Linked DNA regions of Nothobranchius furzeri. The protein of the gene in region 2 interacts with the protein of the main gene of each other region in a biochemical or structural test. Links are inferred from orthologs where the notes say so. Each region holds a gene or a part of one and is shown on either strand. Other genes may lie near its edges.

What was found.
Region 1: the proteins of nufip2 (region 2) and fmr1 form a complex in vitro, tested with the Homo sapiens proteins (2 studies listed by BioGRID and IntAct, with this or other methods). The link is inferred for Nothobranchius furzeri from reciprocal best matches to the Homo sapiens genes NUFIP2 and FMR1.

What each region holds. Positions count from the first base shown.
Region 1 is NC_091741.1:30,646,464-30,650,289, reverse strand, and holds part of fmr1 (fragile X messenger ribonucleoprotein 1), read left to right. Parts: intron 1-1,716; coding exon 1,717-1,769; intron 1,770-1,871; coding exon 1,872-1,965; intron 1,966-3,826.
Region 2 is NC_091750.1:49,402,533-49,406,458, reverse strand, and holds the start of nufip2 (FMR1-interacting protein NUFIP2), read right to left. Parts: upstream 2,753-3,926; 5' UTR 2,657-2,752; coding exon 2,509-2,656; intron 2,302-2,508; exon of another isoform or gene 2,166-2,301; intron 1,753-2,165; exon of another isoform or gene 1,617-1,752; intron 1,213-1,616; coding exon 1-1,212. UniProt on the Homo sapiens protein: Binds RNA.

The DNA.
Region 1 (3,826 bases), on a different chromosome or scaffold from region 2:
GAGGTGCACAGCTCAGCTTTTAATGGATGAGAGAATTACCACGAAGTGTAAATTGATACGACTGGCTGGCTCACCATTAAATGTAGCGGAGGCAAATCGATGATTTTTATTTGTTATGACCAGGAAGATGTAATATTCTATGTAAATATAAATATTAACCTGCTAGGTCTATATTGTAACTGAAGATTCTAGGTTTTAATTCAGAAGATCTAGGTTCTTTGCTTTTTCAGTGATCAACCACACTTCGTGTTACTTCAAGAAAGAGTCAGGTTTATAAAAGTAAGAATTTATTTAGCAAACAATTAAAACATGACTAATTAACTAAGCATTTACTGTGAGTGAATGTAACTAAACGTGATGAAAGAACCAATGTGTGAATGCGGTGTCAGTCAGAGCTTCCTTATCAAAGTAAGCTGAGTTCTGGTGAACAGAATTTGGTTTGCTCTAAGCTATAAAGTTGTTATCATCAGAAGAACATCAGACGCAATCTATCATGTCTACTTCACCCATTTTTGAGAGACCCTCTTGGTGGATCCGAAAGTCGCAGGGGTCGGCTGATCTTTGGCACCGGAGGGTTGTAGAATACCGTGGTACCGACTCTTCAGTCCAGAGATGTCTCGGGTCATAACAGCTGGATGGAACCGTGCGTCTGGCAGACTCTTAAGGAGTCTCACAGTATCAGCTTTGTTTCTGCAGGAGCTGTTTGCTCATCAGCTTCGCAGGTGCAAAAAGGTTTTGACGACGTGTCAAAATCTTTGATGGCTAAAGAGGTTTACTACAGGTGGCCGGTCTGAAGCGATTCTCCAGAACCCTCGAATCACTCAGGATGATCCAGTTTTAAGGTTTTGATGTTATGATTTGCACAGCCAATCAAAGGCTGACAGGTTTGAGAGATGTTACCAAGACAACTCAGAAACATGCCTTCTTGATACGGGACGTTCTGACTGGTTTAAAAGTCTCTGTGTGTTGGAGTTTAACTTAACCGTACTTGTTATTGTGAGTGCAGGCGTGAGGACCTCGTCGTCAAAACATGTTGAACACATGGCGGGTTCTAGTAGACATAAACATAACATAACATCCATTCAGTGAGCACAGATTAATGAAGCATTTCATTATACTATAATTATTGTAAGTAGTAATAAACAAATGTTTATTTAATGATTATCTAGATTATAAGTCATGGAAGAAGTTCATATTGATTTAGTAAATCATTCTTGAATTTAGCAACTCATTCGAGCTGGAGTTGTTCCTTCTGTGGAGGCAGCCAGATGGGACCTTGGGAAAGAAAGTTATTGTTTATCTTTCAGAGCTGCAGAGTCTGTGAGCCCCAGCTGGTATGAAGGCAGGCTCATTTAAAGGGAACACATGCAGTGTTGTGTCTCCTTTCTGACCAGGTGTTGAATAGATGTTGAAAGGTCAGACTGTACCTAAAACTGACCATCGCTGGACGCTACAGATTGCTGTAATCAAATTTGACCACAAGATGTCGTTTACTTCATTCTACAACTTGCAGCTTCACATTTTAATATGTGTTTCAGCTACATGCTGTTGTCAGTTTGGGAAGCATGTAGCTGAATCGTGATCATTTAGCACTTATTACATACTTGGATACCGTGTAGGGCTGGTTATCCATCTACCTCCTCGTTCGTCACTGTGGAGGTGTGGCCACTCACCCCCTTTGTTGAACATTTCTGTTCATTTCTGTGGTTTTTGTAGGCTTTTATCAAAGATGTCCACGAGGGATCTGTCACCGTGGCTTTTGAAAACAAGTGAGTAATATAATGTTTACACACACGACAGTAAAGCTTTATAGTAATACATCTGACGCAATAATAGTAGGATTAAATAATGTTTGTGTTTGTCCGATCCAGTTGGCAGCCGGAACGTCAGATCCCATTCCAGGATGTCCGCTTCCCTCCTCCAGCGGGCTTCAGCAAAGAGATCAACGAAAGCGACGAAGTGGAGGTGAGAAGGGTTCAAACCTCAGGGACAAGCAGGTTCAGGTATTCATCCAAAGGGCAGGAAATAGAAGGACAAGTATGTTTTAGGTGGCAAAAACACTAAAACTCTGGTTTAGAGTTTTCACCTCCAACCCACAGAACAAACTGTTCCAGCAGTTCAGCCTTTCCATTTTAATTGTAATCATAATAATTAATATAGCAGAGGGATGTCCCATTCCGATATCGATATCGGAAGTAATTCGATATCAGCCCAAAAACACTATCGGATTATATCAGACTGCATCAAAACTCTCTGATGTAAGCAGTCCGTTAAGGTTCACATTGTTGGCAACCAATGGTTAAAAAATGTTGTCATTTTTTTCATACTTACTATTGTTGGCTCTTCTTCTCTGATTAAGTAACATCTTTTGATCAAGCCTTTCATACATTCCACACTACAAAACCGGTATGTAGGATTTGTGCTGATATCGTATCGGATAGATATCGGTATCGGTCAATACTGAAAGGCTGCAATATTGGTATCGTATCAGAAGTGAAAAAGTTGTATCGGGACATGCCTAATATAGCATAAATGTGTCGGCACAAAAGCAGAGTATTCAGATTTGTCAACCCTGAACCGCACTAAAGCGTTAAAAAACAAGGACCTTGTCAATTATAGCTGAAATAATTCTTTTAAAGTGTGATTACAAATATTCCTCAAGGCCTAATGTATACGTCTGCGTTGGTATGGAGACACGCAACGCCGGTATCTGTCGTTGCCAGGGCTCTCCAACAAATGGCATCAGCTCACTTCCTGTTACTGCTTTGATCCTTTTTATGTAGTTACAGGGTTTCCCTTACATAGGCGTAGCCGTGGCGGCCCGCCACGGCTGAAATCTTGCCGCCACGCCTACAAGATCCCAAGTTTTATTTATTTATTTATTTATTTATTTATTTTTGCACTGTTTCCCGAAGAAGCAGCGGGAACTACTATGTTGTTGTCGCTTGTGATCACAGCCGGCGAGCAGCAAGAAGAAAGGAGCAGGCAGGGCAGGGTGCAGTTACAGCATAAGTTACTGAGTTTAAAATCAGAAAGGTAGCAGTGGATATAATGCTTTTACGTTTACATGTTTCAGCAGCATTAAGATAAACGAGTGCTGACCATCCTGACAGGGTTTCCTCCAGTGCTTATTAGGCCAGGTTCTCCTCCCCCACCAGGCTAATCATCACTTATTCATGTAAAATGTATTTATTACTTCATGTCTGACTTTAACCACATCTAATACTGTATTACGGCGTGAGCGCAACAGCGACAACTTAAGATCGATGTGTGAGCAGCGTGAGAGGTCGGGTGTTTCATCCGAACCCTTAAAACCTCCAGCAGGCTACGCTGCACTAAGTATTAGCGCGCAGCGCTACATGTCTACATTAGCGACGTGACATGTCTCGGAGAAAGCGTAAAAACACGTTGGACGCTTCTTCTGAAGCGGGAAAATAACGCTTCTTCTTAAGCAGAGCACGACGTCGCCTCGGCTCGTTCACGGCCGAGCCGGTACCGGACTGAGCTCGATAACATGACCCAGCACAGCCACTGGGTCGTTGGAGCTGCCCCGTGACTGCCTGATGGAAAACCAGCGGGTTTCATCAGACTCGTAAGGTTTCTTGTTTTTGCTGGGGACCCCCTGTATTTTACCGCTGCCTCCTGCAGTCTTCCCCTATTAACATTTAAAATGATTCTGTAAACTCGTGTATCGATAGAAACAATCTCTGTCTAAATGTAATTCTCAAATAATAAATAAGACGTGCATTCATCCGTGTATCTCCTTTGATCCGCATTAGTGATGTTTTCAGCACCAGAACAGTGAAGCAAAGAAACATTCCTGAGT
Region 2 (3,926 bases):
TTCCTCCCTCCAGCCCCAGGTTGGGCTCGTTGATGAAAGAGAGCCCCCACTGATTCTGGAAGATGTCTCCCAGGGCTTTCTGATTTGTCTTAGCAGCCGGTGGGTCGAGGTGACGAGCACTAGGGAGCACAGGTTGCATATTTAAAGGGTAGATTAACAGAGTACACTTTTTAAGCTCGTTAGCGTCTCCATCTACAGGACTTGTTGAGCTACAGTTACTTTCCAGAGAAGATGCTACATTCTCGCCACTTGGGACAGACAGGGCTGATTGAATACAACTAGCAGCAGGAACGAAGAAGGTGCCAGCAGACGGGCAGCCGTTTCCATTTCCAGAAACAGGACCATTAGTAAAGCTAGCTGAGGTGATAGTTTTCATAGCAGACATCGGGACTTGAGACAGTCTCATGGGAGGAGGAACCACTTCTCCACTTTGAGCTACTTTATTGAGGTTCTCTTTTACTTTACTTGCATAACTGATCTTAGGAACGATTTTAGCACTGCTATTGTCCACAGGAAATACGGGAGGGGGCTTGAACAAAGTCCACGGGTCCTCCTTTGAAGGAGAGGAGAGTTTGCCTTTGTGCCGTTCCTCTGTTTTCTTACCAAAGGTGCCAGCTGTTTTGCCATCGGAGTTTTTCCTTTGAGATTCCCCCACTGTAGTCTCGGGAACGACAGCTCGTTTGGCAGCAGACTGGGTAGATCTGCCTTTCTCAGTCGCCTCAGGATTCAAAGCCCCCAGCTCCTGTGTAGTGTTGCGGGGCTGCATGTCTCTCTCTTTTTCTTTTGTCACATTATCAGTGTTCTTGGCATTGTTACACCTGGTCTTGCGTTTCTTCGGAGTGGTGTACCCGCCTTCGGATCCGCTGCCATCATTGTCCCTGCTAGAATAGCCATTTGTAATGAAGCCACAATTTACGACACCGTTGTGAAGCAAAACAGAGTCTTTCTTATCCAAGCTCTGGAGGTCATCGTGAGTCAAATCCAGAGTCTTTTCCTTGTCATTTTTAAAGTCCATATTCTTCTTACGGTCCAGAAATTTGCTGCTCGCTTTTGGAGCAGGCGTGTAGAGCTTCTGCGCCCCTTTTTGCTTTAGACTGGCGTTGTGCGCATGTTTGTTACCATTGCCGTGGGAAGGAAGCGACATACCAACAGGATCAGACAGACGTAGATTCCTCTCTCCTTCCTCGTCGCCAACGTTTAATTTTTTATTGCCTAAAAAAAAAAGGAAAGAAAATAAGACGATGTGGAAATGATAGGACTCTACAGACACCACAAAATCTAACAACTATACGTTTATGGTTTGCAGTTTCTTGGAAAGTGATGTTTTAAGATTAGCCAAACACTTATTATGCTACAATTATCACAATGTATTAATGGCACACCGCATAGGAAAGGTGGATGGATACAGGAAGCACAGATTTACAGTGAAGCATCATGACTAGGCCTCTGAAGGCTCAGATTCGTGGGAAGTGCTGTGTCAACGTGGGACTTCCTACTCCACAGTGCTTCTCCACCCCAGTAACATTTATTGGCACAACACACCTCACATTCCTGTCACAGCCAAAACAATTAGTTTCATTTAGCAAATGTACATTTTACAGCGACTGTCAGCTTACGTTCGCTTAATGCTGACAGAGCCTGATCAGCTGCGTGGCTTCTCCAGACAACATTCAAAAGGGCCTGTCAAATGGCTAATGTCTGCTAATATCGCCTAGCTAGTAGCGGACAACGATAACACCACAGTACCGGTCGACAATGACGCGTAAAAAAACGTCCACCGTGTCGTTGTTGTCCATATTTTCCTAACTAGCCGGTTAGTGTTGCGTTAGCTAACTGTGATATTCTGACATGGCCGACCGGAAATGGCTGCACAGAACATTCCAGCGGAGCCGGCTCGGTTTCCTACACTGCACAGAGCTAACTGGAATAACATCAGTACAATTTAGGCCACTGTTACAGAAGAGTTGTTTTGTTTAGAATACAGAGGGACATAAGCGGTGTTTTAGAACATATTCAGCTACATAAGCCATTTAAAATTAGGCGGTGAAACCGGTGTTGTGCCGAAAAAAAGCGCCCCTGCCATCACTAGCACTCTTAGCGCAGAAAGCTAATCCCAAGGTATGTTCTTTTACCAATACACCGAGTAAAAGTTACAAATGACATACCTCCTCGTGTTTTTCTGGACCGCTGAGGACACAAGTATCTACATTTATATTAGAAAAATTAATAAAGGGTTCTTTTTTTCGGCACGGCACCGGCGCACAAGGTCAATCTGCGATCTGTCAAACCACCAGCAGCGACAACGCTCACGCAACGTCAGCAGATAGCGAGTATAATGTGTGGTTTCTCGTGTGACACTGGCTGACTATCTGTCTGATTAACCAGCTGCTCCGCCCGTCCTCAAAACTATTCGGGGCAGCAGCTAGGAGCTAGCTGGCTCCCAGTTACGTTAGCTAGCGAATGCTAGTCGGCTCATTGACATTAGCCGACTTTTCAGGGCGGCCCGACCTGTTTTCTTCGTCTGCGTTTCCTGATGCTGGCACTGGAAGTGGCTCTGATCATTTTTCAGACAAGCTGTGCGTTGAGTAGAGTTCCTGTCCTCCCCGTGGTGGTGGTAGTGCCTGTCTTGTGCCCGATCTTTGGGCTGTTCCTCCATTGAAGTGAAGAATGTCGGACGCGTTCCGCCTGTGTGTTATTAGCTCTCAGTCCAATCACTACCAGAGTCAAACGGAAGCTATTTGAAGCCTCTGTAAACGTCAGCAGTAAAATGTCTAAAAATGGCCCTGTTTTGGGTGGTCACTCCTCTGAAACCCACCTTTAGAATCAACTCCTAGGTGCTTAAAGAGTATTTCATAAGACTTTAAAATGTGCGCACACGTAGAAGTTTAGGATAACACGGGAGTGATTTCAAATTATATATATATATATATATATATATATATATATATATATATATATATATATATATATATATATATATATATATGGAGTGTGAAATAACGGGGTGGGGTTCGTGGAAGAGCCTAAATCATATGACCCGAGGCGCTGCCACGTCTCCAGCTAGTTGACACATTAGGGTCACAAGAGACCAGCCCCCTCCAAAAATGGAAAAGCAGTTAATTTATTTGCGTTATACAAAATTTTCTTGCTGCTGCCTAATGCATATATGATCAGCTTATTATAAGAAAAATTGACGTGTTTGTAAAATCATGCACATTTTTATTTTTACATGCTTTACCTGGCTGGAATCACACAGAGCCACATTTAAGGAATAAAAACACTGATTATTTGATAGACAGCATATCAATATTATTTATGTATTGCTTTGATTTATTCAACGGTAATTATGAAATAATAATAATAATAATAATAATTATTATTATTATTATTATTATTATTATTATTATTATATTTTTGTTGTCTTGTGGTAGTTGTAATAATTAAATAGTCGCGCCAGTGACTCCCTCTAGCGGCTAAACATATAATTTTCTAATCTCGCTTTAGAGCAGGAAAGGAAACACAAGGACAAATGAATCACCTAACTTCACCATTGTCTCTGGACTCAGAATAAAACCCACACGTATATAATTTAGCTCTACCATTTCTTTCTTTTTTCAACATGTCTCAACTGATGTCTGAAAACTGTGAAAGTTAAGTATCTATAGTAAAATAGACCACGCCTGTTTTAGCCTGACACTTTTTGCTGATATGTGCAGCCCTACTTCACCTTTAAAATGTGCACGTGACTGCTACTTTGACATAAAATATTCATATGACTGCTTCATTTAAAGGCAGGTTTTATTTTTTAAACGACAGGTTTTAGTGAAAGGGTTCTCTCCAGGGCACAGACATGCAGTATCTTTAAAATAAAAACGGTGTTCTGGCAGATATCGAGGGGTTTAAGATGCATTTTCTGCTGTGATATT